4 linked regions of the Caenorhabditis elegans genome follow. The protein of the gene in region 3 purifies or fractionates together with the protein of the main gene of each other region. This does not show direct contact. Each region holds a gene or a part of one and is shown on either strand. Other genes may lie near its edges. The genes, in order: spig-9, rpt-5, txl-1 and Y43F8C.13.

Evidence for each region.
Region 1: the proteins of txl-1 (region 3) and spig-9 fractionate together in Caenorhabditis elegans (co-fractionation; one large-scale study listed by BioGRID). This does not show direct contact.
Region 2: the proteins of txl-1 (region 3) and rpt-5 fractionate together in Caenorhabditis elegans (co-fractionation; one large-scale study listed by BioGRID). This does not show direct contact.
Region 4: the proteins of txl-1 (region 3) and Y43F8C.13 fractionate together in Caenorhabditis elegans (co-fractionation; one large-scale study listed by BioGRID). This does not show direct contact.

What each region holds. Positions count from the first base shown.
Region 1 is NC_003283.11:13,609,198-13,615,761, forward strand, and holds spig-9 (Minor capsid protein), read right to left. Parts: upstream 2,689-6,564; 5' UTR 2,668-2,688; coding exon 2,598-2,667; intron 2,552-2,597; coding exon 2,367-2,551; intron 2,310-2,366; coding exon 2,220-2,309; 3' UTR 2,140-2,219; downstream 1-2,139. Other genes in the region: F53F4.7 (Nucleotide-diphospho-sugar transferase domain-containing protein), read right to left, coding at 3,242-3,572, 3,700-3,867, 3,922-4,136, 4,402-4,770.
Region 2 is NC_003279.8:5,737,835-5,745,137, forward strand, and holds rpt-5 (26S protease regulatory subunit 6A), read right to left. Parts: upstream 5,738-7,303; 5' UTR 5,721-5,737; coding exon 5,060-5,720; intron 4,968-5,059; coding exon 4,675-4,967; intron 4,611-4,674; coding exon 4,465-4,610; intron 4,410-4,464; coding exon 4,217-4,409; 3' UTR 4,034-4,216; downstream 1-4,033. Other genes in the region: F56H1.10 (uncharacterized protein), read left to right, coding at 1,669-1,829, 1,964-2,125, 2,165-2,278, 2,335-2,449; rad-8 (Reticulon-4-interacting protein 1, mitochondrial), read left to right, coding at 6,350-6,499, 6,544-6,732, 6,786-7,078, 7,124-7,262. UniProt on the Caenorhabditis elegans protein: Component of the 26S proteasome, a multiprotein complex involved in the ATP-dependent degradation of ubiquitinated proteins.
Region 3 is NC_003279.8:3,226,058-3,235,516, reverse strand, and holds txl-1 (Thioredoxin-like protein), read right to left. Parts: upstream 6,087-9,459; 5' UTR 6,070-6,086; coding exon 5,819-6,069; intron 3,907-5,818; coding exon 3,408-3,906; intron 2,537-3,407; coding exon 2,432-2,536; 3' UTR 2,231-2,431; downstream 1-2,230. Other genes in the region: cogc-1 (Conserved oligomeric Golgi complex subunit 1), read right to left, coding at 1-9, 190-269, 984-1,148, 2,059-2,126; cdt-1 (CDT1 Geminin-binding domain-containing protein), read left to right, coding at 7,550-7,615, 7,675-8,638.
Region 4 is NC_003283.11:19,691,850-19,701,154, forward strand, and holds Y43F8C.13 (Nucleoside hydrolase), read right to left. Parts: upstream 5,550-9,305; 5' UTR 5,538-5,549; coding exon 5,507-5,537; intron 5,009-5,506; coding exon 4,648-5,008; intron 3,875-4,647; coding exon 3,753-3,874; intron 3,548-3,752; coding exon 3,347-3,547; intron 2,903-3,346; coding exon 2,700-2,902; intron 2,238-2,699; coding exon 2,139-2,237; 3' UTR 2,051-2,138; downstream 1-2,050. Other genes in the region: Multidrug resistance protein mrp-7, read left to right, coding at 796-919; ani-3 (Anillin-like protein 3), read left to right, coding at 5,934-5,993, 6,052-6,229, 7,165-7,477, 8,294-8,669, 9,233-9,305.

The sequences.
Region 1 (6,564 bases), on a different chromosome or scaffold from region 3:
ATTTACACGACTTTACAGATACTACAAGCAACTAGACTGAGGAAAGTATCCCAGTCTAGAATGTCACGTACATGTCAGGAATGTCACGAATTGTGAGGAATTGTGTGAATGATGTTATTGCATTGGGAAGAAGATACAAAAAATGAAGGAAAAGGTGTTTTTGATGGAGAGATTGATAAGAAAATAAGGATTTGAAATGAAAAAGTTTCCTAATAGAAATGTTGGGCAAGTTGATCAGTAAAATGTTCCAATAGATAATGCATTATTTAAAAATTCAGAGAAAATAGAAAAATAAACAAGAAGAATGGCAAAAACAGCTATTTAAAAAACCGAGAAATTTCAAAAAAATGAGCTATGAATCGAAAATTCTTTAAAAAATCAACATTAGGACTACAAATGCTATATAAAGTTTTTTTTGTTAACTGCATCAATAAAAATACAACAATCTCAATTTCGATGATCAGTGGGGATGCTTTTTATAGACGTCTTTTTGCAGAAAAAGTGTGTCAGATATGGTAAAAGTGCAATAATTGCAGAAGTTCAAGATCGCCTAGATTTCATTGAACCAGCAAAACCTTTTTCTTTGCAAAGAAATATCAAAAGTGGAGAATAGAAACGAGAGTCGTGTTCAAACCAACCATGGTTCAAAAGAATATCATTCGAGGAGGCGGTCGAGATTCAAAAAGTGCATACTAACAAAGAATTTCGAAATCAACAGAAGGACTACGTGCAGCAGCTGAGAAGGCATCCGATGGATTGAAGCGGCAAAAACGAGAGAAATATAATTGCTAGAAGAGAGACGCAGAGTGCGGAGACATTGTGACCTGGATCGTATCCAGCAAGAGAATGAGGAAGCCTACAATGAGGAATTAGAGACGGAGACTAGAGATGGCTAACGCTAAAAAGTTGAATGCGTCCGCGCGGGAATATCTCCAGCAGTCGTCGCCTCTTGTTCCCAGAGGACGGTTAGTGCGTGAATTGTGGGAATGGAGTGATGGTCGAAATAAATCGGGATTATAAACCAAGAAATTCAATGAAGTCTGAAAGCTTTTTTGTTGATTTTCAGAGACTACCCACGCAACGAAGGGGAGGAGCGAGAGCATTGTGAAATCAAAGTTTACCAGCTCAAAGAATTTGATGGAAAATTATTTGTTGGTTTTTGATGCTAAAATTTAATGGGGTTTTAATAGTTTTACAACTTTTGAACAAACATTGAATTCAGATAAATTTAACTGCAAACATCTTTACAGATAAAGTTCAATAAATTCTTACGATTGAAGATGAAAAATGTTTTGAATTTTTCTAGATTTCTTATGATGTTTCGTTTCAAAAAAATAAAAAGAGCTGAATTATTTTTGAATTATTTTCAATATTTTTGCGTTTTACGGCATTTCTGGTTGGTTTTTCTTAATTTTTCAAAGAATAAATAAAGGAAAGCGTATCAGTGTTGCTGGAAAACGCTTAAAATGTTAAAAACTACATCTCTTTGTGCGGAAATTTGAAAATAATGCAGCTCTTTTTTTTGGAAATTGAAAAGATCATTAAAAATCTAGAAAAATTCGACGAATTTTTTACAGTTATATTTGGTATATTGGGACCAAGGGTGTCAATGTCCCGTAAAAATTACAAAAACGGGACAACGGATGTCCCGTTCCCGCGAAAACACCCAAAAAACGGGACAACGGGACAAACGGGACACGGGACTTGACACCCTTGATTGGGACTGTTTTCTCTCATTTATAGCAAAAAAACCACAGAATTTGACCGACAAACTTAAGATTAGCAGGTATAAAACACACTGTCGATATATTCAAAAACTAAAAACTTGAAAAATTCTTTCCTTTTCTGTAGTCTTAATGAAAAAGTTTCATGTTAAAAACTTAAATCCAGAACACTGAAATCTTTCTTGCAAAGCAGGGAAAGTGAAAGTCCATTATTTCACTTGCTCGTTCAAAACTAAAGCTTTGTTATCTCATCTTTGATTTTCAGATTTTTGAAGCTTTGAGGATTGATTCTGGAAGATTTAGCTTTCAAAGATCAATCATATTTTGTGGTCTGGCTTCTGGCTGCCAACTGAACAGGACAACATTAGTTTCAGCCTTGGAAAATTTGGAAGTTCAAAATTTAGTTCACACAACTGAAGAATAACACTTTACTCAAAAATAAAAATTACGAACAATCATAGATTGTAATACAGACGATACTTGAGTTTTAGAAAATTATTCGGAATCAGATTCAACTTGAATGGAAATCTCGTCTGGTTGACCGAATTCAGCTGCCTTGCTTTCAACGAAGGCCTTGTAGGCTTGCTGAAATTAATGGGTACTTATACTCCTGGGAGACAAACATTTGAACTAAATACTAACCTGATCATTAGCTGGTGCTTGTTTGATAGCTGCATCAGTCTCAGAAATGATTTCTTGGAAAATAGTTTTTCCTGATTTCTCAGAAATTTCTCCATCGTTGTTGTGGCTGGCTGTGATGTCTACAAGCTTGTTAGCGGTTTCCTGGGAAATTCCAGCATCGAGCAACTCTTGCAGATAATTGTTTTCTAAAGAACTATCAATTAAAATCGAAAATTAAATTAGTAACTTTACCATTCTCGTTGAGGGCAATAACGGAAACAGCGAGAATTGCTACAAAAAGAGATGTCCAGATAGAGTTCATGTTGAAATGATTTAAATCGTCAAATGAGGAATCTACCTGTTATTTTATACTAACGGATTAACTGGTACATGGAAACTGCCGGATTATCGTATGAAAAATGATCATTGTTCGATCGATATGGTTATGTAGGCGGATTTACAGAGAGATGAACTTTGGTGTTAATTGGGAGAGACTAACCAGGGGAACAAAAGTAATAGGTTTTGATTTGTTGGACATTCCTAGAGGGCATTTGATTTATAAAAAATTTAGTGAAATGTTCGAATAATAGAAGACATATGAGAACTTTTGTATATTTCAGACATCAATCCTTCATTGAATAACAGTATCTTCAAGTAATTTTTTAAGATAACCTTTTGGGAATAAATACACAAAAAAAACTGCACATTGAATGTGTAAGTACCAATAATGTTTTTTCTTGCGATTTTTCTCAATTGACTTTTTTCTGTTTTTTTTTAAATTAATGAATTATATTTTATTAAATTTAGCAAGCACGGTTTGCGATAGTATGTTACTTTTGGCATTTCTGGCGATCACAAAAGTTGCCATAAAAACGTTCAAAAAACTTTATTAAAAATCAGAAAAACTGTAAATAAAGCGACGTGAGTCCTCCATAAATGCTGGAATAATGTCCGAAAACTGGAATTTGATTGAGAAATTCTCCGAGTTTCAAATAAAATTGTTCGCGATTCTTTGATTGCGTCATAATCCGTGGCACAGTTCCATCAACCATATGTTGAACTCCTTTTGAAACTTTATCTGCTTTACATCTGTCATTTTTATCCAAAAACCAGAAATTATATTTTTCAAGCACTTTCTCCTTATTTCCACCAGTTTCTCCGTCCATTTGAATCATGATCGGTGGGTTTTTCTGGTCTCCGTAAATCCATTCCCATCCCGTTACCAGACTGAAAATAACAGTTTTGATGAGCTTAGAAGATCGATTTAAAATTTAAGATGCCTTGGATAAATTTTAAGTTAAATTGAATTTAAAAATATGAAACCTTGAATCATCAACTTTTTTGGTAGCCATACCTGTATGGAACATAATCACATGAATAATCTCCACGGAGACAAAACATTTTAACAAGATCTGGGTCAGTAATATACACACTTTTCTGCCAAAATAACCATGATTCTACTAAAGACTGACTGGAAGATTTTGAGGGAATATAGAAGTTTGCACCGTTCATTGTTCTTTTTCTGAAATTATCCAATCAATCGTTTCAATCATATTTAACAACTGTATTTTATTACCGAATATCAGCGGTTCCTTCGAATCCTTGTTGATCAAGAAGAATATCACTATTCTCATATTTACTCACATCGACCAAGTTAAGAAAATTATCACGCCAAACTGTATCAGCCTGAAGCATCCAAAACGGTTTTCCAAGTTTTTGAAGTGCATGAATCATATTGGTTCTCATTAGGAAAAAGCTCATGTATGTTATGTCATATGGGCGGAATGTTTTCTGAAAATAATCACGTGATGAAAATTAATGTTTTTTGTTTGAAAAAATATTTCAGATGGAAGCTAAGGATTTTAAGTTTTAAGTATCAACATTATACAATACTTTTTTAAAAACCTACAAAAAAAGGAAATTAGTTGCGCTAGAGAACCCTAGACAATTTCAGAATAAAAATTTCAGAATATTTAATTGTATTATTTTCAAAATGTTCTCTTGTTTTAATCAAACTCCACAAACAAACAACTCCGCCTTTAAATTCAAAACTCACTTGAAGTACTGGTGCCAACCAGATGACAATATTCAATCTTGGATACACTTTTCGAAGACTTTCTTCCGAAAACTTATCCATAACTAAGAATAGCATTTTCTGGTGAACACCCACAAAACTTTTTGTATTGCACAACCAATTCAAAGTCATTTTTACAGCGTGTCGATTCAAAAGCATAACTCCGTATCCATCAGGAAGTTTCCTTACAGCTGTCTTCAACTCTTCATACTTCACAATATGACTCCAATGAAATTCAGCTTCATTTTTGCGAAGAACTTTTAGATTTTTATAATTTTGATAGATATTATTAAATATTAAAGACAATGGAATAGCTGAAAAAAGAATGAATGCAATAAAGAATGGGCGCATCTTTTTTATGTTGATTGAATCTGGGAGGCTTAGGAACGGTTTTTATGTTGTCCTACTTTTAATTATCTATTTGTAACATCGAGAGTAGGTGGTCAGGTTTTGAACACCTCTTGAGGTTACAGAGAAGGGCGCAAACTTAATGTTTCCGTGGATCTACTGTTTTTTTTTTGTTTTATTGCAATGCTAACACGGCAACGAACTATCTTTACTTTATTGATTTTTAAAAAAGTTTTTTATTGGTTTAACAAAAAATTTAACAATCAAAAAATCACATGTTTGACCATTCCAGAGTAATCACATCAGAAGAAGTCAAATCTATAAAATTCTTTGTTGAAATGTTTAGAATCTTGGTGATTCCAGAGTATGTTGAAGTCTGCACATTGACATTAATAGATTGCCCATTCAAACGGAACGATCGGAAGTTCGGAGGTGTTGTGTAGTTAAAGATTTCCAAAATATCCAATGTAGGTAAAACAGTTGTTCCCTGTAAATTTGCATGTATAGAAAAAGTCAATTTTTAATTCACAAACCTTTCTAGTTCTTGTAATGGCCAACGAAGCACCGTTAATCGTAGAGTTGAACTTAAAATCGAACTGATGATAGTCATGGGTATCAAATGAGTCCACAATCCTCTGACCATCATCCCAGTACAGAACTCCCGCAGCTCTACCAAGTTGGCAAGGTGCAATCAGGAGCTCGAAGGGGTTCAATCGGCTCATTGTTGTTGTTGTAGTCGGAGTTTGGCGTGGAATGACATAGCCTCCTGAACAAAGTTTCAAACTAGATTAAATACAATCATGTTTTCATTGAAAGGAGAAATAGAGATTTAATTTCATGTAATCTTAAATGAGTAACCGTAATCAAAAAACCTTCTACAGTAATCCGACACCAAAATCTTACCTCTAACAAAAACTGGAATTCTAGAAGTGGTTGGAGATGGAACAGTTATGAATCCTGGGTCGATTCTACTTCCATACATATAATTGAAAAGTGAGTACCATACATCATTTGGTAAATAAAGGCTTGTGGAAACTGCTCCTTGATAAACTACAGGAGCCACAAGAATACCGGAGCCCCACATAAACTGATAGCCCAAATCAAGTGTCGCAGAATCCGTTGGAAACTCAAAAAAGACTGGTCGAACAACTGTTAGACCATCTTTTGATGCTTGGAAATGAAGACTGAATAGATGTGGAAGGTATTGGTAACGGAAGAGATTTGCGATCTTTGTGGCGGCCGCTACTGATGGCCAGACTGCAGGATCTTGTGCAGGTTCTCCAAGAGTATTGTGGTTACGGAAGAAACTATGAAAAGCTCCCATTTGCTGCCATCTGAGGCATAGTTCTTCGTTTGAAGTTCCCAAAAAACCACAAACATCTGAACCAACGTATCTGAAAATAAGTAGGTTTCAATTTAAATTTCTTCTACACGTATCACTTACGGAATTCCAAATAAATTAAATTCTTGAGCTCCAATTACAGATGTTCTTAAATCTTCCCATCTTGCTGTATTATCTCCCAACCAATGACCCGCATATCTTCCAGCTGACGGGAATGTGGATCTTGACACTACTGCTCCACGTTTTCCAGTCACATCGAGAAGTGCCTGTTGAGTTTGAATTGCTTCAGTCAGTCCGAACAAGTTCTTGACATCATAGAATCGATAGGTTCCGTTGTTTTGAACTCCACCCATGCAAATTGTTTTAGAGGAGAGATATGCGTTCTGAAGCACATTTATTTTTTTTTGCCTTCCAAATGAAACCTATGCCATTTGAAATAGAAAGAGAAATTTGAA
Region 2 (7,303 bases), 2.5 Mb from region 3:
TTACATCTGATAGAAAACATGTATCATTTCCAATGTCTAAGAAATTCGAAGGAACTCCAGAAAAACTGCTAAACTTTGCATTTGCTGCATATTCTCTGGAAACTATTAGTAAGATTTCAAATATTAGTGAACACTTGGAAACTGTGATCAATAACGGTGAAGCTGTTCTAGGAGCTATCAAGAATATAACTCATCTGAAAATTAAACAAGAGATTGAAGAGACTTGGAGCAAATATCCGGAGTTGAAGAAAAGCCTGGAGAAATTTAGAAGTAATAAAATGAAACTGGATGATTTTATGATATCTGTCAGAACTGAGAAAAACCTTTCACAAATTGGATCAATTTACAAAGAAGTCTCAAATATTCCATTTTCAATGCAATTTGATTTTAGAAAAATGAGAGAATCTTTGAGATACCTAGAAGTTCCCATGAAAGACATGGAAACATCATTAGGAGTACTTGAAAGATTATTTGGAATCAACTGGGATCTTGTTTATACTAATTTCGTGAAAACTCCATCGGATATGGTAGACTTGCAAGAAGAGTTCTTGAGATTTTTGGAATCGAAAGAAGAATCAATTGATTGGGCTTATGTTGGTGGTGCAGCAGCAATCGTGGTCTTTATTTTGCTGACATCAATCTTGGGATATTGTATTGAACGTTGGACGTGGACATGCGTTTAAGAAAACTATGAGGTAAGATTTTTAAAAATATATAGTCTGTGAAATGATTTTTGGCGGAATTGCGTTCGTGGGAATTTCACATCATTATACTTTAAATGTTCTAATCTGTCGGAATAACAGTCAAATTAAATCTACCTACGAAAACGTTATTTCCCAAATTTAGCTCCTATTCCTGTTTTAATTTTCTCCAAAATGAAAATCCCACTTTTTGCCCAATAAGTGTCTTCAAACTCTACACTCTATAATTTAATTGATGTGTTAACCTGCAATTTAGAAAAATATTTAGAATATGCAATAGTTGTACGGAGGCTTTCTTTGATGTTGTTAGAAATGAAAAAGAACTGAAATGTCAGCGTAAAGGATTTTGTCGAAAGGATGTGAAGGAATGGAAAAAGTGTGAAGCATGCAGATATCAGCAATGCTTGGAAATTGGTATGACACTTGAAAGTAAGTCCGATTTTTGTGCCCAATATTATATTCGTGAAAATTTGATGCTCAAAAAACATTGTAGCTTCTTTATTTGCATAACAAACTTCATAAGTTTCAGGTGTTCCTCCTGGCAAACAGCGTCATTCGGCAAAAAATAAAAAGCATCAAAAACGAAGCAAAAGTCTCAAGCCGTCTAAAAAATTGGAGACACCATCAGTATATGATAAGGTAGGTTTTTGCATTGTTGCCATTTTTGTTGAAATTTTAGTCATTTACTTTTCAGTCTGAAGACAACATGGTTTAGGCACATTCGAGTTTGTCAAGTGAAGAGGCTGAAAGTATGAAAGCTTTGACGTCGTGATCAATATAATTGCATACTTTAATCAATACTGGGCACTTGCTCTATTCTCCAATTCTTTCTGTTTTTCACAATCTATTAAAACAAATTAAGTTCAATAAATAATTTATCAAAATTAAAATTTCCACTTTTTCAATTTCCAAATATCATTTCGCTAAACATTTTCCATTTCTCGTTTTACTTTGTCGTTTGACAATTATGAATTCTTCTCAATATCTCAATGGAATCATTATTCTAATCACCATCTTGGCCATGTATTGCAATGAATTATCGATTAAAATTGATATGGAATGTGATTTTGGTGGTAGTGATATACCACGTGTCTGCGTTTTCATCGAAGTTTTTGAAGATGAGCCTATGTGAGTTTATTGTAAAATATTTCTATGGCTTTTATTTCCAAAAATTAGTAGGACCAATCAGCGTAGTATTCCAGATGATTTTTTGAAGAGAACTAAATCCACAAGTAACAGTGAATCTTAAAACAAATATTTAGGTACGAACAACTTCTCAGAAATCACTCACGATGTATTATCACTGACTTAATTCATTTTTCAAGAGAACTTGAAAATAAGGATTATTTTTATCCGGAAGGCGAAAAGCATCGCGTTCGAGTTGGCATACCACCGATTAAATTTCGGAAAGTATTGAGAAACCAGTTAGTTTTAATTTTAAAAAACTATGCATGACTTTCAAGTTTACAGGAAAATTTGACAATGTTCGTGCAAATCTCTCACGATTGTAGTTCCAATAGGAAAATTCGATGTTTTGAAACTTCTCTCTATTACAATACGACGATTTCTAAAAATGAGTGAGCATTTTAAAATTTCAATAGGGTCAATTGACAAAAAAATATATAATTTATAGGATATTCATTACTGATAAGCTGAAAGATCAAGGAAGAATGAGAGCATGCAGTCCACGTTGGGAAGGTAGCGAACTATGGAATGGTCAAATGTTAAATGGAAGATATGATCAATGAATTTTGTTTGAAATAGTTTTGTTTTTTTTTTATTTCAGTGCAGAAAAATTTCTTTGAATATAGAGTAGTACTGTTAATGGGAACTCAAACCAGTTTAACTCAGTACACTTAATCTGATTGGGACTATTGGTCTTGCAGTTCTCAATTTAGTGGAAACTTAATTTGAAGATAGATGTTTTCAAATCTTGGAATTTATATTCTTTCTTAATTTGTTTCGTTTTTCCCTTGCAATACTTCTGAATTTCAGCCTGGTATTTTGAGCAGAATTATATTTTACGAATTCTACTACAAATATTTCAGGAGCTTCAATCAAGCACATAATTTTTTTAAAGGACTATCTAGGCAGAAAATTTGTTTCCACTTTTTTATTAGCCATTCAGTTTTTTTTCTCTCCCAGCTTTGAATGACTCTCAGGTGTCCCATACTTTATTATCTGAAATATAAATACTTTCTCGGCTGGAAACACCACAAGATTTGAATTTTAATATACTCTTTTTCTTCGTGATTTTTGCCTTTTAATCTATTAAAATATCTATTTCAAAATATTATGAATTCCTATACGTTTTGAGAACCCCCTTCAAAAATCTTTCAGTTTTGAACATGCGTTTGAGTTTTTAAATAATTTTTTAGATAGGCAAGTTTAAAAAAAAATTAAGATATCAACAAATTTAGAACAACCTGTAATTTTTTTAATGTATTTATTCATTTATGTTTTAGTTATCGTGAATAGAAAACCGCCGCAAAATTGCTTGAAAATAACTACCATAAACCTTTTGGCGCGTTACCACCCATCAGAATAAATCCGTGCGCCTTATAGAAAGCTTGCCAAAATCTTGTGAAAATACGATAAAAAATCACAATAATGTTTTAAAAGATTGAATAATCAATAATTCGAATTTTCAGGATGTGGGTGCATCTTACGGCCAACTTTTGACAGTGAATGGCTCAAAAAGACAAATGAACGTGTCTACAATAATTATTCTCATTTTGTTTTCAATCGACCTGAGATCACTTATCCAGATTGTAATGCAATTTCTGCTTTGTGTCCTCCGCAATCAAAAGTAGTAGCATATAGTCATAAGACAAAAGAATTGGTAACAGATACACCACCTGTAAGATTAAAATTATTTCAGAAAGATAATCAATGAAATACAAATATTTACAGCTCGAGAAAAATCCCTTTATACTTTCCGAACTTTTCTGCATCGATGGAGAGTGGTTCAAAAGAGGTGTTGGTTCCGAAGATTCGATGCTTACAGGATCCCCAATTTCATGTGCAACTACTAAATAATTATCTGATACACTTCGCATTATTCAATAATGAAATTGATAACAGTAATTGTAAAGATATTTCAATTGATAAATATTTTCAAAAAAGAAAATACTTTCTATCTAACGAGACCCAAATGAAAGAGGCGGAGCGTTTCCATTTGGCACTGGGGCGCGATTGCACTTTAGCTTTTCTCTGCATACGTTTCACTGACGTCAGTACTGACTTCTGGATCGGTCAAGTTACAATTTGAGATGTCTCGCTAAATGTTTGAAGAGCACGCAGAATGTTGAAACAGTGAAAGAAACACATTTCGAAGAGTGACCATTTATGCACATTGATCGGAAATAAATTAGGAATCCACGCACTTCGAGGATGAATCAATAAAAACAGGAGAGGGGTGGGAATAGAATACGAAAGATGAAAGTAAGAAAAAATCGCGTGAGAAAATTCGGGAGCGATTCAAAGGGAACACAGTGACAACCGGGAGTGAAGGATTAAGCGTAGTAATTGAGGGACGCCTTTTTCTTTGCCTGGACCTCCAGAATAGCATCCATAAAGTCTTCATGAAGAATCTCAGTAGCATCTCGTCGAAGAGCAATCATTCCAGCTTCAACACAAACCGCTTTGCATTGTGCTCCGTTGAAGTCATCGGTACAGCGGGCCAGTTCTTCAAAGTTTACATCCTTGCTGAAAAAAATTAATTAGACTAAATTTTACAAATAAAACTGTCGCGAAAACATACTTGACATTCATCTTCCTGGAATGAATCTGCATGATTCTGGCACGGGCATCCTCGTTCGGATGGGGAAGCTCAATTTTACGATCGAGACGACCAGAACGAAGAAGAGCGGGATCGAGCACATCGATACGGTTCGTTGCAGCAATGACCTTAAATTCATATTTACAGCTTATACCGTCTTAAAAATATAACTTAAAATGGAACTCAGCTTACCTTGATATCATCATTTGGTTGGAAGCCATCAAGTTGATTAAGAAGTTCCAACATGGTACGTTGCACTTCACGATCTCCAGCTTTCTCTGAATCGAATCGCTTCGTACCAATGGCATCCAACTCATCAATGAAAATAATAGCTGGAGCCTTTTCCTTAGCAAGAGCAAAAGCATCACGAACAAGCTTGGCTCCATCTCCAATGAACATCTGAACAAGTTGTGGGCCTGCGAGCTTCAAGAATGTTGATTTAGTTTGGGCAGCAACCGCACGGGCCATCATCGTTTTACCAGTTCCTGAAAAACGAATAATTTACACTTGAGCTGTTGTAATTAAAATGGTTATTTTCTAGGAGTACTACTTTATCAAAAATTTTTCGTAATCTTACCTGGTGGTCCATACATGAGCACACCCTTTGGAGGATGAATACCCAAATTAACAAATCGATCCTTGTGAGTCATTGGAAGCACAACAGCTTCAATCAGCTCCTGAATTTGCTTGTCACATCCTCCGATATCGGAATATTGTTCAGTTGGCCGTTCGTCAACTTCCATAGCCTTCACACGAGAATCATATTCTGCTGGTAATTTTTCAAGAATCAAATATGAATCCTTATTGACACCAACGAGATCTCCTGGCTTCAACTCATCTGGATCGACAAGTCCAACAACTGGTAAGAAATATGTGGCACGAGTGGAAGTCTTAATGACTGCGCACTTGGTTTTTTGGGCATCGAGATCAACATTTGCGCCTTCTTCTTCTGTATTATCCTCGAGATCAAGAAGTTCGACAACGTTGGACACCAAGTACGGAAGAGTTTTGTTAACTTTGATACGTTCAGTATTCTCCTTGATCCGTTCTTTGAGAGTGGTTGCAGAATGATTGATACGTTGAACTTCACTTCTCATAATACGAATCTCGTTGTCCAACAAGTGGGTACGGCTTTTGAGATCTTCCGTCGACATTTTCAGAATCTCCTCATCAATAGCATCCTCCACCTCCATTGCCTCTGGGTTTTTTCCGTCTTTTGGCGGTGGTGTTTGCGACATTGTACTGCTTCTGGGGCCTGAAAATTAGTTGTAATTGCTTCTGGTGAGATCTGAAAAGTAGTTCCAGAGAATAACGCAAAGTCAAAGTTCTGGACAATAAAATAAAATCAGTAACACAATGCGGTGTAAATGAGAATATTTAGTTCAAAAAATTAAACGAACGCTAATGTGTATTGAGCGAGTGACAATGAGAGAAAGTGTTTATCACGAGAAATAATGATTAGAATAAAAGAAAGTTTGACTTGATAATTTCACGATGGCCCAAAGGTTACGTCAGTATTTAGCTTACTATTAGGTTTACGTTCCGTCCACAAAATCTGTTTTGGCTAGCTAAATATTATTTAAAAAAGTTTAAAATTTGTGTTACTATCTTCAAAATATCTTTAATGAGTTCTCAAGATAAAAAATTTTGAATATAAACTTAAAAAAAAACAATAATAAGCTTTTTAGCCTTCAGTAAATGATAAAGAATCCAAAAGAACGAGAAATTTTGAAAAGGATGATTTGTGCAATTTAGCGTCGCGGTGAACCACACAGAAGGCATTTAATTTTACGACACTTGAAGTCTTCGTGCAGTTTTATTTGTTTTTATCAGAAAAAAGTTATTTCCACATGAAATTTTCAGCAAAATGATCGAAAAAATGATTCTACGAAGATTTTTCTCAACAAAATCATCAACGATGCGTGCATGGGTCTCTGAAAACGGATCTGGAGTTGAGCTCAAAGAAGTGCCGCTTCCAGTCATAAACAAACCAGGACAAGTCCTTCTAAAAGTTAAAGTGAGATTAATATTTCTTGATTCAAGCAATTTAAATATTTGTAGGCAGCGTCTGTTAATCCGATCGATGTTGACATGTCTCAAGGATACGGTAGAGAATTCCTAGGGACGTGGAAAAAAATAGAGTCCTGTGATGCAGCCGCGTCTAGATTCCCTCTAATTCCAGGAAGAGATTGTACAGCTGTTGTAGAATCTGTTGGTGGCGATGTGCACAATTTAGCTCCCGGTGATGAGGTAACGAAATCCTATTATGCATCGATTCATGATTAAATATCGTATGTTTTCAGGTTATGGCTGTTGTTCCTGTAATTCTTCCAGGCACACATGCCGAGTTTGTTGTCACTGATTCGAAGTATTGCTCTAAAAAGCCCAGCAATTTGAGCTTTGTATCAGCTGCCGCACTTCCTTACGTCGCATCGACAGCCTACTCAGCTTTTACAATAGCCAGGGTCTCACAACGAAATGCCAAACAACAAAGAGTTTTGATTCATGGAGGAGCCGGAGGAGTTGGAAGTATGGCAATCCAGCTATTGAAAGCATGGGGATGTGAAAAGATAGTGGCAACGTGTGCAAAGGGCAGGTTAGATTATCTATATCTTTGCAATTTTTCAAATAAAAATTGTAGTTTCGATATTGTGAAGCAACTTGGTGCAATTCCAGTCGACTACACATCAGACCAGGCGACTCAGGAATTGATTGAGCATGCACCATTTGAAGTTATTCTTGATACTGTCGATTCCCAGCTAGCAAAGTGGAGTGATAATGTAAATATAATTGAGAAGTGGAAATTAATGTATAAAACTAC
Region 3 (9,459 bases):
GCTCACCGCCTGGAAAAAATACATTTTTTAAAAATGAAATTTGATAGCATTTCAATTTGTTTTACGGGTAAAACTACTCAATTTTCATGATTTTAAAAATTTTTTCAGTAAAAATCGCTAAAATTCGCTGACATTTTTGAATTAATTAAGTTGAAATCAATTTTTAATTTCAAAAAAAAAAGCCCATACTATCTCCTCCAATACTTGAAACCAAATAGTTCACCGCATAGAGATGTTCTCCCGCTTTCTGTTCCTCTCGTCCTCCGGTTCTGGAAATTCAAAATTTTATTTTTTTTTTCAAATTTTTTGCTCTGAAATTTACAGAATTGTTTGGAAAACCGTGCAAAAATGTGATAAATATTTGAATTTATCTAGGTTAAAAATTTGAAAACAAATCCGAATAAATTGAGTTTTTGATTTATAACTTTTGATTTTTTTTTTCGAAGTAGAATATATATTTTTCTAACGATTTTCGGATCTTAAAATTGAAAATAATTCTGGAATTGAAGAATTTTGTTTATTAATGGTTTTTGAATTCCCGCGCAATCTAATTTCGGCATTTGAGCGTTTTTTCGGCTATATTTATTGGTTTTTATTAATTTATTATTATTATTATTATTATTTGCTTTTAAACATATTTTTCGTGTTTTCAGTCATTTTTTTTCTGTTAAAAAAACGGCTGAAAATTTAAAATTTGTCTGAAAATCGATAATTTAGCATTAAATATTTTCCGCAAAAGTCTAATTTTTTGCTAGAAAATCGATTTTTAGACAAATTTTAGGGTCTCAGCAATTTTTTTCGGGGTAAAATGTCTGAAAATGAAAAATTAAATTAAATTTTCCTAATTAGTTTTTTTTGCGAAATTTTCTCAAAAAAACCATTTTAAAAATTTGGAAAAATTCAATTTTTTCCAATTTTTTGAATAGAATTTTTTGCCGTATTTTTTCCGAGTTTTTACTCAAATTTTGCGAAATATTTCCAACCTAACATGAGTGGATTGATATCCAACTCTTGTATTTGCAATATCTGAGGCCAATTTATCAGCCAAAGAGCACACGTGACGAACTTCTGAAGAAGCTTCTAGAACATCTCGATACCGACGGCCGACCATTTCACGGAGACTTTCTCGTTTTCCTTCCATTTCTTTTCTGAAAAAAATGTTTTTTTTTCGAAAATTATCGATTTTTCTGAAAATTATCGTTTTTTTAAACTTATAGCTTTCTTTGCTGGAAATTGTGGAATTTTTACGATTTTTTGACTTTCTCAATATATTATTGAATTTTCTGAAACCTATCGTTTTTTTTTTGAAAATTATAGCATTTTATTGGAAATTATCACTGTTTTTTTTGAAAACTAAGGATTTTTTTGGAGATTATCGTGTTTTTTTTTTGGAATTTACCGATTTTTCGACTTTATAAAAAATTAGTTTCTGAAAATCAGCGATTTTGATTTTTTTTTTGGAAATAATACCTTTTTTTGGAAACATTATACGCTTTTTGCACTTCAATTTTAAATGAATATTTTGAAATTTTGATGTGAAAATTTAAAAAAAAATTGTTTCTCATGAAAAAATTGAATTTTCTATTTTTTAAATAACACTCTGTTTAAAAAATCCCGAAAAATCTTATTTTCAGCCAATTTTCCCGAGAAAACATTAAAATTTCTTAGTTTTGCTTTTTTCTTAGCTTTTTCGAAGATTATAGCCCTTTATTGAAAATTATCACTTTTTTTTTGGAAATTGTTGATTTTTCTGAACTTTTTGAAATTTCAATTTGCAAATATTTTTCTCGCGAAAAAAATTGAAATTTCTATTTTTTAAATAAAATTTTGTGAGAAAAAAAAATACTTTTTCAGCCAATTTTCACCAGAAAACATTAAAAATTTCTAATTTTCAATTAATTTTTGTTTTAAAAAATTAATTTTTTTCAGCAAATTTTTCCGATTCCTCATTTTACAAAAATTTCTTCAACACATCCACGTGTCGATTTACGCAGCCCTCGTGTACTCCACGAGGAGAAGCTTTTGTTTCGAATTTTCTCGAATTCCCGCTTCTCTTACTCCAAATTCTGCTGAATATTCTCCAGTTGCTCGACCGATAGGTCACGCATGAGCCGGTCAACGTCCATCTGAAAATTTCAGATTTTTTCTTTTTTTTAAATTAAATTAGAAATATCTAGATGAAATGAAACATTTTTCGAGTTAAAAATTGAATAGGATAGCTTGGAGAAATGTGTTTATGCTGAGAAAAAAAAATAAATTTAAATTTAAAATTAAAATTAAAATAAAAATGATACACAAATCGAGAAATAAATAAGGAAAATATGGAAACTGGGATCAGCGAAAGTATGGTTTTTGGTACATGACAATTAGAGAAATGAATTGGATAACTCGTTGGCTCACAATCAGTTGATAGGAAGAAGGATTGATGGGCTCAATGAGCTGCATCTCCAGCTTTTCCGGCGACTCTTTTGAATTCGTTCATGTTGAGAGCAGACAGAGGTGTTCCGAAGACTGTAAGCTTGACGAGCTCAGTGACCTGGAAAAAAGGAAAAAATTGGAGGAAATTGGAAAATTATAATAATTTTGCTCTGAACCAGGGGTGGGCGGCAAACGATTTTTCCGGCAAATTGGCAAATGTCGAATTTGCCGGAAAAACGGCAAATTGCGGTTTTGCAAATTTTTTTTTTTGGAAATTTCAGAATTTAAATTTCAATCGGCAAAATTGTACGCATCCTATGAATATTTCTACATTTATTTTGAAAAGTAGGCAAATTCTATGAAAATATCTAAAGAAAATGGGGAAAAAATTTCAAAAAGGCATAGTTTTAAGTTTTTCCGTCTTATAAATAATCCCTCTAAAAATTTCCGGCAAATCGGCAATTTGCCGAAAATGAAAATTTACGACGAATCGGCAAATTGTCAGATTTAAAAATTTCTGGCAAATTGGCAAATCGGCAGTTTTCCGAAAATTAATATTTACAGAAAATCGGCGATTTTCATAATGAGACTTCCAAAAAAAATCCGAAAAATTGTTTTGCAGCTCAAAAACTAAAATAATATCGGAAAAAAAACCAAAATATTGTTAAAATCCGAAATTTCGCCGGAATACATTTTATATTAAAAACAATTTTTCAATATTTTTTAAATGGCGGTTTAAAATTTCGAAAAAAAATTTGCTAATTTTAGCTAAATTTCAATTTTTTTTTTTCAATAATGTCTGAGAAGTTTCTTCACGAAATTCGTTCATTAATAAAGCGAGTTTTCGTGATTTTACTGAAAATCTTTAATTATCTTTCTTTATTTATTTAATACGTTTATTAAATAAATAAATAAAAGCATAATCAATAGTTTTGGGTAAAATTTTAGTAAATTTAAATGTTTTCAAAGTAATTTTTATCGAAACTTACATCTCCTCCACCGACATTATTCTCAATGAAAAATTGAATATTCTGAACATTCTGGAACTTGACATATTTCAACGCGACGACTTGTCCGTGCCCTTGAATAGAAGATTCATCAAATTCCAACATTTGAGTTGGCTCCAGAGCTGTTGCATTATCGAAATCCGTAGTTTTCGGAAGATTAATGAACACTTTGACCTTCTTTGGAGCACGATCCGATACTCCTTTAATAAGAATTGAATGAACTTTGACTGGTTGATTAAATGGAAGTGAGATGATCAATTGCTCATCACAATCTGAAACCAGATTGCAGTTTCCTTCGAGAAAACGTCCCAGTGGAGTATCATCAGATTCATTCAAACATTCCATTTGTTTCTTATCGACAAGAGGTGTCAAGTCCATTTGACCAGCAACCAGTGAGTCGGCTGCCGAGTTGTCTGCGTACTTTTTCACCATTGTTTCCAGTGCTTTTGCATCGGCTCCTTTCATTTGTTCCACGCGGACTCTGCAAATTTTTATTTTGGGGAGTAGAGTTTCTGAGGTGGGCGGATATTTTTTTCGGATATTTTCTAATAATGAATTTATCAATAAGTATTGATGTAGTTATTCTGGAAGAAATGTAACCAAATCAAAGAGTAACTATTAAGCAACATTTTAATATGATAAAATCTAGAAAAATTCTACAAGTTTTCCTTACCGAGACCTTAAAACTTATTAGCCGAGCAACATCGGATATCGGATATTACGGATATCGGATAATGGACTTGCATATCGTTTATACAGAAAACTTGTAGAATTTTTCTAGGTTTTATCATATTAGAATGTTGCTTAATAGTTACTTTTTTGTTCGGATACATTTCTTCCTGAATAACTACATCAATACTTATTGATAAATTCATTATTAGAAAATATCCGAAAAAAATATCCGCCCACCTCTGTAGAGTTTGTGGGTATTTTGCTTAAATAGACTAAAACTGGTCCAAAACCACCGAATTTCATAATGAGACTTCACAAAAAATTTCCAAAAATTTTTTATGGCTGGTCAAAATTTAAAAAAAAAGAGCCAAATTTTGCTAAAATCTGAAATTTCGCACACTTTTCTTTGTCACAGCCGCTGGATTTTAGTTTTTCTGGAATTATCACCGTTTAATCCTTATTTTGGTAATTTATCTCGCGGAAATTCGTTAATTGAGACAACTTTTAGACCGATAGGCATCCAATTTTGATAATTTTTGGATGCCTATCGGCCTAAAAGTTGCCTCAATTAACGAATTTCCGCGAGATAAATTACCAAAATAAGGATTAGAGGGTGATAATTCCAGAAAAACTAAAATCCAGCAGCTGTGACAAAGAAAAGTGTGAGAAATTTCAGATTTTAGCAAAATTTGGCTTTTTTTTTTTCGAAACTCTGCAATTTTTTATTTTGTGCTCAACTGTGAAAAAAAATTATAGAATTAGGTTTTCTGAATTTTTTATTTTTTTTTAATTTTTTTTTTTTAATTAAATTTTTTCCAAATATAAGAGAAACGGCTGAAAATTTGATTCTTCGAATTTTTTACAAAAGTTGAGTGAATATTTTTTTTTCGATTATGCGATATCTGAAAAATCGAAAACTTTTCGTTTTTCCTATTTTTTCAAAAAAAGCTCAATTTTTTTTCTTTTTTTTCTTCTTTTTAGAAAAAAATGTATGTTCTCTTATGTTCTTTTTCAGGAACATTAACAAAATTTAGTAAAAAATAAAGTTTATTTTATTGTCAGAAAAAGATTTTTTTTCGATTTTCCGATTTTCCGGAAAATCGAAAATGTTATATTAAGTCTCAGAAATAATTACTAAGGGTAAAGCTTTTAAAGCCTTTTCAATTTCATTTTGAATATCCACAAAATATTGATTTTTCAGGTTTTACGAGCCAATTTGCAAGAAATTTATCGGTTTCCAAATTAAATTTTTTTTAATTAATCAAAACAAGGCTCTGCAATTTTCAATATGCTATAATCCAACTTTTTGATCTAAACTTTATATAGGAATGTAATTTAAAAAAGGTCTGTTCCATGTGAAAAAATTATTTATTTTTTTTGAAAAATTTGAAATAGGCCTCGCACCATTTGAGGCCTTTTTCAAAATTTTCAACAAAAATAAATATTATTTTCAGATGGAACATAAATTTTTTCTACATTTCTATATCAATTTTAGATCAAAAAGTTGGATTATAGCATATTAAAAATGGCAGAGCCCTGTTTTGATTATCTTTAAAAAATTTAATTTGGAAACTCATAAATTTCTTGCAAATTGGCTCGTAAAACCTGCAAAAATCAATATTTTCAAGATATTCAAAATGAAATAATTTCTGAGACTTCACTTTTTTGCAATTTCTTCAAATTTCCCGCATTTCTATTCCAATTCCAGATGAGACCCATACCCGCTCTGGAAAACCATGAACGTTGGCATCGAATTGACACCGTTCTCTGAGCTGGTTTTCTCGCAGATCTCCACATCAACTTTCAGAAAAACTGCTCCAAGATATTGATTGGACAGAGCTTCAAATGTTGGAGCAATCATTTTGCACGGTCCGCACCAGACTGCAGTGAAATCGACAATCACTGACTTGAGACCAGCGAGGGAAAGCTGATTTCTGAAGTCTTCGTCGTCTTTCACGTTGATAACTGGCATGGTGTAGGGGAGATGGGCTGAAAATTAATTTAATATTTAGATTACTGCACTTATTTTTTTAAGGTGGTGTAGTCGAATTTTTTTAAAATTGCTTCATTAGACTCAAAATTGTCTCAAAACACCGAATTTCATGATGAAACTGCTTGAAAACTTCTCAAAAAAAGTTATGACTGCTCAAAAAATGGCCTAAAATTAGTTAAAATTTGAAATTAGACCGACTTTTCAAGCGGCTAAAAACTACCTTTTTTGAAATCACCGTCAAATTTTGAGTATATATAAAATGTAATTATCTTGCGTTTTCAACTCGATTTAGGTATTTTAAAGTCGATGGACGGCGAGATTTGGTTTAAAAAATTTAAAAATCTCGCCGTCCATCGACTTCAAAATATCTGAATCAAATTGAAAATGCAAGATAATATAATTGTATACTCAAAATTAGACGGTAATTTCAAAAAAGTTAGTTTCCAGCCGCTTGACAAGTCGGTCAAATTTCAAATTTTAACTAATTTTAGGCCATTTTTTGAGCAGTCATAACTTTTTTTGAGAAGTTTTCAAGCAGTTTCATCATGAAATTCGGTGTTTTGAGACAATTTTGAGTCTAATGAAGCAATTTTAAAAAAATTCGACTACGCCACCTTTAAAATACGGATTTTTAATCGAAAAATGCAAAATAATCTCAAAAAATGGGAAAAATCCCCAAAATCTAAAGAAAAATTAAAGAAAAAAATTGGGTTTTGAAAAAAGTTGTTATTTTGTAGTTGAATTTGTTGAATTTTTCCCGCTGAAATTCCAATTTTTAAGCTTTCGCATCATTTTTTTTGGGATTTCTGGCAAAAGCTATTGTAAATACTCCCGGAACAATGCACGAATATATTTTAGCTATTTAATACGCAGAAATTGTGAAATTTCGTTATTTTTTGGGCGATTTCTGGGGAAATTTTGACCGAAAAATTGTAATTTCTGGGATCACCGCTTCCAAAATTGTTCAGTTTATAGTTCTAGGAGCAAAAGATATCTCATTCAGAAGAAAAAACGAAAAAAAAATTTCAAAAAATATAGGAATCACGCCAATTTAAATAATTATTCATTAAAAAAAAGATTTTTTGAAGGTTTCCACAGTAAAATGCATTCATTCTCAAACTGATTTTTGGGTAATTTTGGGCATTTTACACGCTAAAATAGGTGAAAAGCACTTTTAAACGCTCTGAACACAATTTTAATATGCAAAAAATAGTATAAATTCCGGAAAATTAAGAAAATCGGCATGAAACGTGGATTTGTCAGCATTCAAAATGAATGCCGGTGCGGCGAGGGAGTGCACGAAGCGTGGAGACGCAGCGGACAACAAACGCGCTCCAATGGACAAAAAGTGCGGGAAACCGGGACTGTTCAAAGTGTACGCTTTGTCTGTCGTCTCTCCCATTTATTTTTTGGTTTTCGCGAATAATTTCGCTGAAATTATTATTTATTCCTGATAAAAATGAGTTCCCGGGTGACTAGATCCAGGTCCCAGACTCCGCAGACTGCTGTAACCGACTTTTTCAAGGTAAATTGGAGTTTGAAGTTATGAATTGCAATTATTTAATGTTTTTTTTTCTTTTTCAGACCACCAGAAAACCGAGAGCAAGAGGAGAAAAGAAGATTATCGATGAAAGCATCACAAAGACCACTACAATTAAAGAAGTACAAATTCCTGCTGCTCCAATCGTCGAGAATAAATCCTCCCGAACTCGCGCTCGGACTCCATCCCGTCAAGCGGAATTATCGAGTTCCGGAACTCCGCCAAAAAAAGCTAGAGAAGCTGAAGCAGAAGCCCCTGAGCTTCCCAAAATCCATGAAGATATTATTCTGGAAAATCCGGCTCCTCAGAAGTCAGCGATCGATAAGCTAATGGAAGCATCCGGCCCAGCGAAAAAGAAGGCTGGAATTCGAACTGTTGCAGATTTACAAGCAAGAATAGCTGCAAAAGGAGCAGCTAAAGCGATTCATGAGCAAAATTTGAAGAACAAAACGAAGCAGGTCGATGATCACGTGGAATTGCTGAAATCTCCGAAGAAACCAGTTATTGTTGAGCATCACAAATCACCTCAGAAATCCAAGGCCGCTCGTAATCTGTTCTCACCGAAGAAGCCAGTTCCAGACTATATTATTCCCGGCTTTAATGTCCTGAAATCGGCCGAAAAAGTTCGCGGAGAGCAGGATGATGCTCACGAAGAAGAGGGAAAACGAATGACTGCAGAGTTTCTGAAGAGCTCACGGCTTATTGATGAAGTTAAGGAGAGTGCACGTCAACGGATTGAACTTCCAACTGCGTATGAACATCTCGCTGATACTTTCAAACGAATCGATCAGATCACTGCGATCTTTATCGGTCAGAATCGAAGCTGTGTGGTTCCTGAGTTGATCAAGAATGTTAAGAATACGTCTGGAAAGGATTTTTCCAATGAACATTTGTCACAAATTCTTCATGTATATCCTCAATCATATCATATTGAGATGCGTGAACAGCGAAAAGCATTCGGCCAGGGCGGGAAGTATGAACTTGAGGTTCGACCGAATCTCGTGGAAGGTTCGTAGCTTTCGGTTGGCAATTTGCAATAAAAACATTTAAAAAATCAGCTATTTCTGACGTATTCCATTAAAATTTAGTGTCAGAAAATAGAAAAAATATTATATTAATCGTAAAATAGCATTCTTTTAAGTTTAAAAAGACTTATCGATTTTTCTTCTCTGTTTGATCACCTCCACACATTTTTGAACTCGAAAATATTTAACGATTAATAAAATATTTCTCTATTTTTTAACAGACCCTATTCATGCTCCTGATACTGATTTTTGATGTGAAAATTTTTCAAAAAATTCAAAAAAAAAGCCCTGGTTTTATATTAATTTTTGGAAATTCTAAAAATACTAGCTTTGCTCAAAAAAAAACTGAAAAAAAACACAATTTTCTCTTCAAAAAGTAAGAAAAAACACAGCTTTTTACCAGATGTTCGAAAAAAAAACTTTTTTGTTTAAAAAATCCAAAAAAAAAACAATTTTTTAGTAAAAAAATTCGAAAAAACTCAATTTTAAGAAAAAAATCCGGGAAAAAAACACCGTTTTTTAGTCATAAAATCGGAAAAAAGATAATTCTTTATTCAAAAAATCCGAAAGAGCTCAATTTTTTAGTCATAAAATCCGATAGAACAGCGTTTTTTGTAAAAAAAACCGAAAATACCGAATTTTTATTCAAAAAATCCGAAAAAAAAACACAATATTTCAGTCAAATAATCCGAAACAACGCTATTTATAAATTGGAAAAAACACCATTTTTTGTTCAAAAAATTAGAAAAAAACAATTATTTTTAATTTAAAAAATCTGGAAAAAACACAATTTTAAGTCGAAAA
Region 4 (9,305 bases), on a different chromosome or scaffold from region 3:
TGAAAAAATGGAAAAAAATTAGATTTATAGATTTTTTCCAAAAACTCGAAAAATTAACCAAAAACTGACTGAAAACCGTGGAAATCGTAATTTTCGACATAAAAATTCGCCTTAAGATGCTTGAAATTCAAAGAAATTGACTTTAATTTTGATTTATCGATTTTTCTAGCAAAATCGAATTTTATCGATTTTTTAAAAATCGAAGATTGTTAAATTTATTGACTTTTTAAAAATTAGCATCGAAATTGAAACAAATAATTTTTTCAATTTTTATGAAAAATCGATAAATCTAAAAATTTTTTTGCGATTTATCGATTTCCCAAAAAATCGATAATTTTACTTCTTTAAAAAAAATCAAAAATTGAAAAAAAAATACTGATTTTTTTCGATTTTACCCCAAACTGCCTGAAGAAGTCCGTAAAAATCGCAATTTTCTACCAAAATTTTGTCTGAAAATGTCTGAAATTCTGATAAATTGAATTTAATTTCTTTGATTTATCGATTTTTTCTATTGAAATCGAATTTTTACGATTTATTGATTTAATAAAGTGGCTAAAAATGGAAATTTTTGTCTGAAAGTCAATAAAATTTTCAGAAAATGAATTAAAATCGAAATTTTTTTTGGAAAATATTTTAAAATCTTCAAAAAATTCCGCTGATATTGGGATTTTTTACCCAAAAAACTGGAATTTTTTGAAAAAAAAATTTTTTTTTGTTGGTATTCCCGATGAATATTCCAACGCAAACCCCCACATTTTACCTTTCATAAAACCCCGAAAAATCCCAAATTTCCAGAATAATGGTGCTCGATAAGGGTTCAATTCTGGAATTCGACACACCGGACGCCCTAATGGCCGACAAGAACAGCGCCTTCGCAAAAATGGTCGCCGACGCTGCGGAACAGGACAAACACGAGTGAAATTGACACAAATTGACACCCAAAAATTAATATTTTCAAAGCTTTAATTCATATTTATCCCCCAATTTTTACCCCCGAAAATTCCCGAAAAATGCTCAATTTTTTGGAAATTTCACGAAAAGTTTCACTTCTCACACAAAATGAAACCGGTGCTCTCCCTTTTTTTCTCTTTCAACTCATATTTTATTACCTATTACCCATTTTTTGTTGAAATTGTGTGATTTTTAGCCGTTTTCTGTTAAGTAGAAGAACAATAAATTGATTTTTTCGCGAAAAACATAGTATATTGCTAGATTTTCGACTATTTTGAGGGCCAACTAACTCTGTAAAAATTATTGACACTAGCGGGGACTCGAACCTAGGACCTATTTCACCATAGCCGTCCATGTACCCAGTTGAGCCACTTCCATCCTTTTTCAGAAATGCTGACTAAGGCTGGAATTTGAGTTTTTTATATATGTAGAATTTTACTAGAAACTAGGAAACTACATTTCCGGCTGGTTTGGAGCACCGGGAGCAGCTAGGAGCTCCGTGAGCAATTTTAGAAGTGAAATTCGAAAATTTCAAAATTTTTGATATGGGGGTCAAATCGATGCAGAATTTTACGCTGAACAACATTTCAGTTGGCAACTTTTTGATAACTCTTCTAGTTTTTCAGTTATTTGCGATTTAGTCGGAAAACTATTTGAAAAACCTGAAATTTGCGAAATTCAGCTGAAATTTCTGATGTTCTCCATTAAAACATCTGCCTGCATGTTGCATTACCCTGGAAAAATTATTGACACTAGCGGGGACTCGAACCCCTGGCTTTTTTCACCATAGCCGTCCATCTACCCAGTTGAGCCACTTTCACCATTTTTCAAAAATGCTGGCTAAAGCTGGAATTTAGGTGTCCCTGGTGTAGAATTTCACGGTTATTTTGAATATCAGATTTTCAGCCAGTTTGGTTCACCGGGAGCAGGTAGGAGCTCCGCGAGCAGTTTTAGGTGTCAAATTCGAAAATTACAAAATATTCTAAATGGGGGTCAATTCGGTGCAGAATTTTACGCTGAACAACATTTCAGTTGACACTTTTTTGATATCTACTCTAGTTTTCGAGTTATGCTTCGAAAAAGTCATAATTTTCATTAAAAAATAACTTTTTATTGCAAATTTCAACACACACACACACACACCATAAATAAGAGCAATAAATGTGACATTTTACAGTTTTAAAGAGTTAATCGAATTTTCCACTTCCAGAAGTGGCTGCATGAAGCCACTTGTCCACAGTATGAACGTCGTAAGAGGTGACGAATTTGACACGGCGATGGGTGTGCTGAAAATTGGTTTATTAAACAAAAAATTGATAATATCTAGATTTTGGACTGTCTGAGTGTTGTATATCTATTGTATATAACATTAAAAATACTAATAAACCCAAAGGGATTCGAACCCCTGACCTATTTCACAATAGCCTCATCAATCTACCCACCTGAGCCACTTCGCCCCATTTTCAAAATTGCTGGCTAAGGCTGGAATTCAACCGTACCTGATGTAGAATACTACGGGGAACCCAAAAATCATGTTTTAAATAAGTTTGGAACACCATGAGCAGCTAAAAGCTCCGTGAGCAATTTTGGGTATCGACCTTGAAAATTTGAAAATTTTTTATATGGGGGTCAAATCGATGCAGAATTTCACGCTGAACAACATTTCAGTTGGCAACTTTTTGATAACTCTTCTAGTTTCCGAGTTATGCCTCAAAAACTATACAGAACCCCAGATTTTTTGTTTTCACCTGATTCGGAGCTTCCTCATTCGACCACAGTTGCTCGGTCCAATCAACCACAACCTGCCCACGTGTCTTTGTTCCATTCAGCTCTACATCGACATACAGGTACTGAGACTTTTTTGCAATTTTATCCTCATCGATTGCAGTAGCCACAGCGATCTCGTCGCAGTAGGAGTATTGGCGGCCGTTGGCCTCGCATTTTACGCGGCCTGGAACATACAAATCGAATTTAGGAACTCTAAAAAAAAAATGTACTTGTTGACTAATCTACAGACCTTCGAACTCTAAAAAAATTATTGACACACTAGCGGGGCCTCGAGAAGCCCGGACCTATTTCACCAAAGCCGTACATGTACCCAGTTGAGCCACTTCGACCCCTTTACAAAACTGCTGGCTAAGGCTGGAAGTTGAGTTTTCTGGGTGTAGGATTTTGCGGGTTATCCGAAAAACGAAATTTCAATACGTTTGAAGCATTGGGAAAGGCTAGGAGCTCCGCGAGCAATTTTAAGTGTCAAATTCGAAAATTTGAAAATTATCGACATGGGGGTCAAATCAATGCAGAATTTTACGCTGAACAACTTTCCAATTGACAGTTTTTTTTTGGTATCTAGTATCTACCCTAGTTTTCGAGTTATAACTTTAAAAAACCTTACCAATGCTGGTGGCCAGCGATAAGTAATTAGCCAATGGGGTTCCATACTTCAAATGAGCCGAAAAATCAACTGAAGCATCATGGGTCTTTGATTCAAAATAGAATGCCTCCCATGGAACAATGGTGATGGGACACTTCATACGTCGGAGCACAATGCTCGCGGCTTCCGGGTCTCCGTGGAAGTTGTACTCGGCTGAGGAACCTGGAAAAATTAGGGGGGCTTTTTGGGGTTTGACGGGTCTGTATCTCCGTCGGTTTTGGGTTTGTCAACAAATTGTTAACTGATGAAATGTTTGTTACATGTTTCTGAACAGGTTTATAGTTGAAACTTTTCTAATATCTCAAAAATGAAACGAGATATGGCCCGCCAAAGTGGTCCACCCTAGTTTTTTTTTTGAAGAACCTACCTCCATCAACATTTCCGACCGCGTAATAATTTCCTCCCATGATTACCAGCCGGGATGGGTACGTCGAAAACTCCTCGCAGAGTTGGAGAGCAATCGCCACGTTTGTGAGGGGACCGATGGTTCTGAAAAATGGTTTTGTTGAAAATTTAGGGAAAATTGAGCAAAAATAGATTAAAATCGAAATTTGACACCCAGAATAGCTCGGCGTAGGCGAAAATGTAGGAGGACTGTATGGATACTGTAGGAGTACCGTAGGACTTTAAAAGGGTAATGTTGAGGTACTATAGGGGTAATGTAGGGGTACTGTAGGAGTACTGTAGGGGTACTGAAGCGGTACTGTAGGGTTTCTGTAGGGGGTCTATTGGGGTAGGGTAGGGAAACTGTCCAGGTACCAGGGATACTGTAGGGGTACTGTAGAAATACTGTAGGTATACAGTTATGGTACCATAGGGCTTTAGTGGAATTAGTGTAGGGTTACTGTAGGGTTACTGTGTGTGTACTGTGGGGGGAACAGTAGGGGTACTGTAACACTATTGTGTGAGTACCTGTTCGGTTACCAGAGGTACTGTAGGGTTATGTAGGGGATCTGTTGGGGTACTGTCGGGGTACTATAGGGTTACTGTAGAGTTGCTGTAGGGATACTGTAGTGTTACTGCAAGGGCACAGTGGGGAACTGTGGGGATACAGTAACACTACTGCGTGAATACTAGAGGGGAACTGTCCGGGGTACCAGGGATAGTGCAGGGGTACTGTGGGGTACTGTAGGGATAGTGCAGGGGTACTGTGGGGTACTGTAGGGATAGTGCAAGGGTACTGTAGGTCGCTGTGGGGGTACTGTAGGGGTACTGTAGGGATGCGGTGGGGGTACAGAAGGGTTACTGTAGCCTCAACTTACACCAAAGTGGCATCCCGATTCTCTCTCAAAATATCGATTAAAGCAAGTGACGCATGCTTCCCCTCCCCCTCAAAATCGGATCTTTCGACTTTCGGGAACTCCTCCGGCTTATCACCGATCCCATCGATCCCGAAAAAATCGGATACGGTATCATCCTTCGGCAGCGACAAAATCGATTTAGCCGCACCCTTGTACACTGGGATATTGCTCCGATCGTTGGCTCGGATGGTTCTTTTGATGTTCGCACAGGCTTGATCTACTGTCACACAGCCGTGGACTGCGGTGAATGCGAGAATTTCGGCTTTTGGGTGCTGCAAGGCTAGGGAGATGGCTCGCACGTCGTCGCTTACACCGTCAGAGTCTGAAAATCGATTAATTTTTGTTTTTAAAGCTTAAAATTTGGTAAACTTTATGTAAAACTTTAAAAATCGATAAAACTCGCTAAGCAAGCGCGCTCCAGTGAACTAGTCCGTTTTCCGACGCTAATTTCAAATTTTCAAGTGTTTTTTGACGAAAATAAGTGGAAAATTTGAAGACTTCTTGTTTTTTTTTAAATTAGAATTCTCGTTTATCATCTGAAAATCCGAAAAAATCGATTATTGAAGCGTCTAGACTCGTTTTTTTAAATCGCCAAGCAATGCAATCACGCTCCAATGACAAACTCAGTTTTCTGGCGGGAAGCTCGAATTTTCCAGTGTTTTAACGAAAATCTTCGGAATTAATACGTTTTCGGTGTATTTGAACGTAGAAAAGTAGAAATTTTAAAAAAGAAAAGAAAAAACTCGAGTTTTAACGAATTTTATAGAATTTTTTACTCAAAAATTGGTTTAAATTTGTTTTTATTCTCCGTTTAACTCACCAATGACCAGCTTAACCTTGTCCACAGTCATGTTGTCTTTTTTCTGAAGAGCGTAATGTTATTAAAGTGAAAAAATTAAACTTAAAATAACTAAATAAATATATGAATTATTTCTCGTCGCAAAAAACGCAACATTTGGGCAAAAATCAATCTGTCACCTGAATAATGCACACAATCTTATCATTTTTTATCAATTCTTATCGCATTTTCTTCGATTATTCTCGCTTTTTCGCCGTAATTCCGCATAAATGCGATAATTCGCGAAAAAACTACGGTTTTTCTTAAAGGCGCATAGCTCAAAACTTCAAATAGGTCTCGCCACGAATTCAGTGATGTGAGGGATTCGATGGAATTTTGAATTTTTAAAATCGATTTTTGCGATTTCTAGACGGTTTTTCGCCGTTTTTTCGGAGATTTTTGACGAAAAATGGAGAATTTCGACGGAAAATCGATGCCGCCAACTCCGGTGCCAATCGGATCAAGTCAGGTAGGGCAAAAATCCGGAAAAATCGATACAATTCACAAAAAATCCGAATTTTTTCCAGTTCTACCGCTGGATGCCGCACCCGATCGTCGATACACCACCGTCAGATGCTACGTGGCGCAAACCGGTGCCACGCGGCCGAATTCGTGATCTCGTCGCCGCGTTCGATCAGTGCTCCGGCATGCTGGAGCAGAAGCCCCCACCTCCGCCCACGCAAAGGGTTGAAAGTCTTGAAAATGGTGCGGAAATCAATCGATAATTGAGAAAATCGATAGGGGAATGCGAAAAAACTGGAAAAAAATGGGGAAAATTGAGAAAAATTGAGGAAAATGAGAAAAAAAAACCATTTCCCCCGGTATTTCTCCTATTCAAATGCAAATTTATAAATTCACATGTATTGTTAATTTATTTGCACTGTCAACACACCAACTATACAGTTTTTACATGGAAAATTGATTTTTTAGAAAAAACAATCGGAAAATCCCAAAAGTTTTGGGAAAAATCCAGAAAAAATGGGATTTTTCGCAAGTTTTCGGATGAAAATTATGGTTTAAATTGAATTTTGAGTGGAAATTTGCAAAATTGGACTTTTTCAGAGAAAATAGTTATAATTTGCAAAAAACTAATTTTTAGAAATTTTTTTTTCCAAAAATTCAAAAAAATTTTTTTTTTCAAAATTTTCATTTTAATTGGCAATTTACCATTGAGTTTCTGGTGAATTTCGAAAATTTTCTCTAAAAAATCCTGAAAAAACGGAAAAACCTCTGGAAAATTCTAAATTTCCAGCAAAACCACCAAAATTGTCGGATTTTGTGTTAAAATTCTGTAATTTTCGGTGGAAAAATCGCTAAAATTTAGAATTTTGTGATTTTAAGCTAATTTTAAGGAATATTGTGAAAAAAATTAAATTTTTTAAGAATTAAAAAAAATTTCAAAAAATTTTTTTTTTTTTCAAAAATTAAAAAAAAATTTTTTTTCGAAATATTCACTTTTTATTGGGAATTTTACGAATTTTGAGCGAATTTTAAAAAAATTCCAAAAAACGATAATTTTTTTGCAAAAAAAATTTTTTTTCGAAAAAAAAATTCAAGTTTTTCCAACTTTTCACATTTTTCTCAAAAATGATCTTCAAAATTCGAAATTTCCCGCCAAAAATAACCCATTTTTCTTCCAGAACACATTGCTCCACCGCCAACTTCAAAATCCTCCAAAATTCCGGAAATTCTCGCCAAAAAATCGGAAAAATACATCTCACCGTACGAAAAACGTCATTTTCATGGTCGTCGTGGCACCCAGGCTGTCGTTTTTAATTCGAATAATGCTCAAAATGCTCCAAATGTGGGCGGAGCCTATCCATATGGAGCCACACCGTTGAAATTGCGAAATTTGGCCCAAAAAATGGATAAAGAGGAGCTCTACGTGGCTGATGACGTTGGAATTTCCAAAAAATCTGAAAATTTCGAAAATTCCGATGATGACGTGGCAAAGTACGAAAATTTGCGGCAAAAATGCTATAAATTCGAAAAAAATTCAAATTTTGTAGCCATTTTTGACATTTTTCCTTTAAAAAAAAATCTAAAATGTCCAAAAAAAAGCCGCGAAATTCAAATTTTTAATTTTTTCCTATAAAAATCGAAAATTTGCAGAAATTTTTGAGGTTTTTGAGACAATTTTTTGAATTGCCCAACTTTTTTTTGTTAAAATATCGAATTTTAAGTAAAAAACTACCGAAAATTCGACTTTCTCGCCTAAGAAGGGGCGGAGCCGCGCAGGCCACGCCCACAAAATGGTTATTAGCGATTTTTCGGCAAAAATTGCGAAAAAATCAATTAAAAAAAATCAATTCGGATTTTCAGTCAAAAATTTTCTAATATTCGATATTCTTGCCTGAAAAGAGGGCGGAGCCTAACAGGCCACGCCCACCAAATGGACGGAGCTTATTTTCTAAATACTAAAAAAAAACAAAAATTACAGCAAAAAAAACAAATTGAAATTTCAAAATTTCAAAAAAAAAGAGGGCGGAGCCTAACAGGCCACGCCCACCAAATGGGTGGAGCTTGTTATCTAAATACTAAAAAAAAAAAAAAAATTTGCAGGAAAAAACACAAATTGACACTTCAAAATTTCAAAAAAAAAAAGGCGGAGCCTAACAGGCCACGCCCACAAAACGGTTATGAGCTATTTTCGCTCAAATTTTGTAATTTTCAGTCAAATGTTCCCTAAAAATCGATATTCTGGAGCCCACAAAATGGCGACGAGCATATTTTCGTCAAAAATCGGTAAAAAATCGATATTTTTTGCAGTTTCCAAGAGCTTCTGGTGCTGGATGAGGTGCTGGAAAATGCTGAAAATTCTGAAAATCTGGAATCCCAGCAGTACGACGAGGAGAGCACCCTAAACCGAACATTTCAAGATTCTGGAGTTCCAGAAAATCAGGAAAATCTTCTCCAGCTCCCTGAGTGCCCAAAAACGCCGAAATTCACGAGTTCGCCCACGCTTTTCACACCGTATGCCGCTGGAGAGCCCATCGTTGAATATCGATGCTCGTCGGGCTCCGCGGGGGGTCCACTCAAAATTGTTGTGAAGAAGCTTCAGGCACCGATTGCACTTGCCACTTCGACACCGAAACCCGCAATGTGTCGGCCGCCGAAACACTCGGAACCACCACCGGCTTTTCAGGTGGATTATATCTGAGATTTTTGGCGGGTTTTTCAGTGAAAAAATTGAGAAAATCCCCGTTTGGAAAAAAGATTTTTAGTGGTTTTTGTGAAAAATCGAATTTTTCTCAAAAATTTGGAAAAAAATCTATTGAAAAATCGATTTTTTTTTTCGAAAATTTCGTAAAAAATCCATTTTTTCGAAAAAAACCAATTCAAAATTTCAAAAAAAAAGGGTTTTCTCTCCAAATTGTAAAAAAATCGATTTTTCTTTGAAAATTTTCTTCGAAAAAAAAAAGTTTTATTATATTTCGTTTAAAAAAATCGATTTTTTATTGTAGAATTCCGTAAAAAAATGGAATTTTTCGAAAAAATCAGTGAATTGTTTTTTGTTTTTTAACGAAGAAATTTCTAAAAAAAAATCGTTTTTTTCGAGAAAAATTTCATTTAAAAATCGATAATTTTGAAAAATTTCGATTCAAAAAACGTTTTTTCAAAAAAATTTCTTTAAAAATCAATTTTTTGAACTAAAATTTTGTAAAATTTCGTAAAAAATCGATTTTTTTACATCAATTTTTTGCGCAGGATTCCTTCGTGAGCTCAATCAGTAACTGGTCGGCAGTAGATCATCACGCGACGGATTCGCGCCGTCAAATGA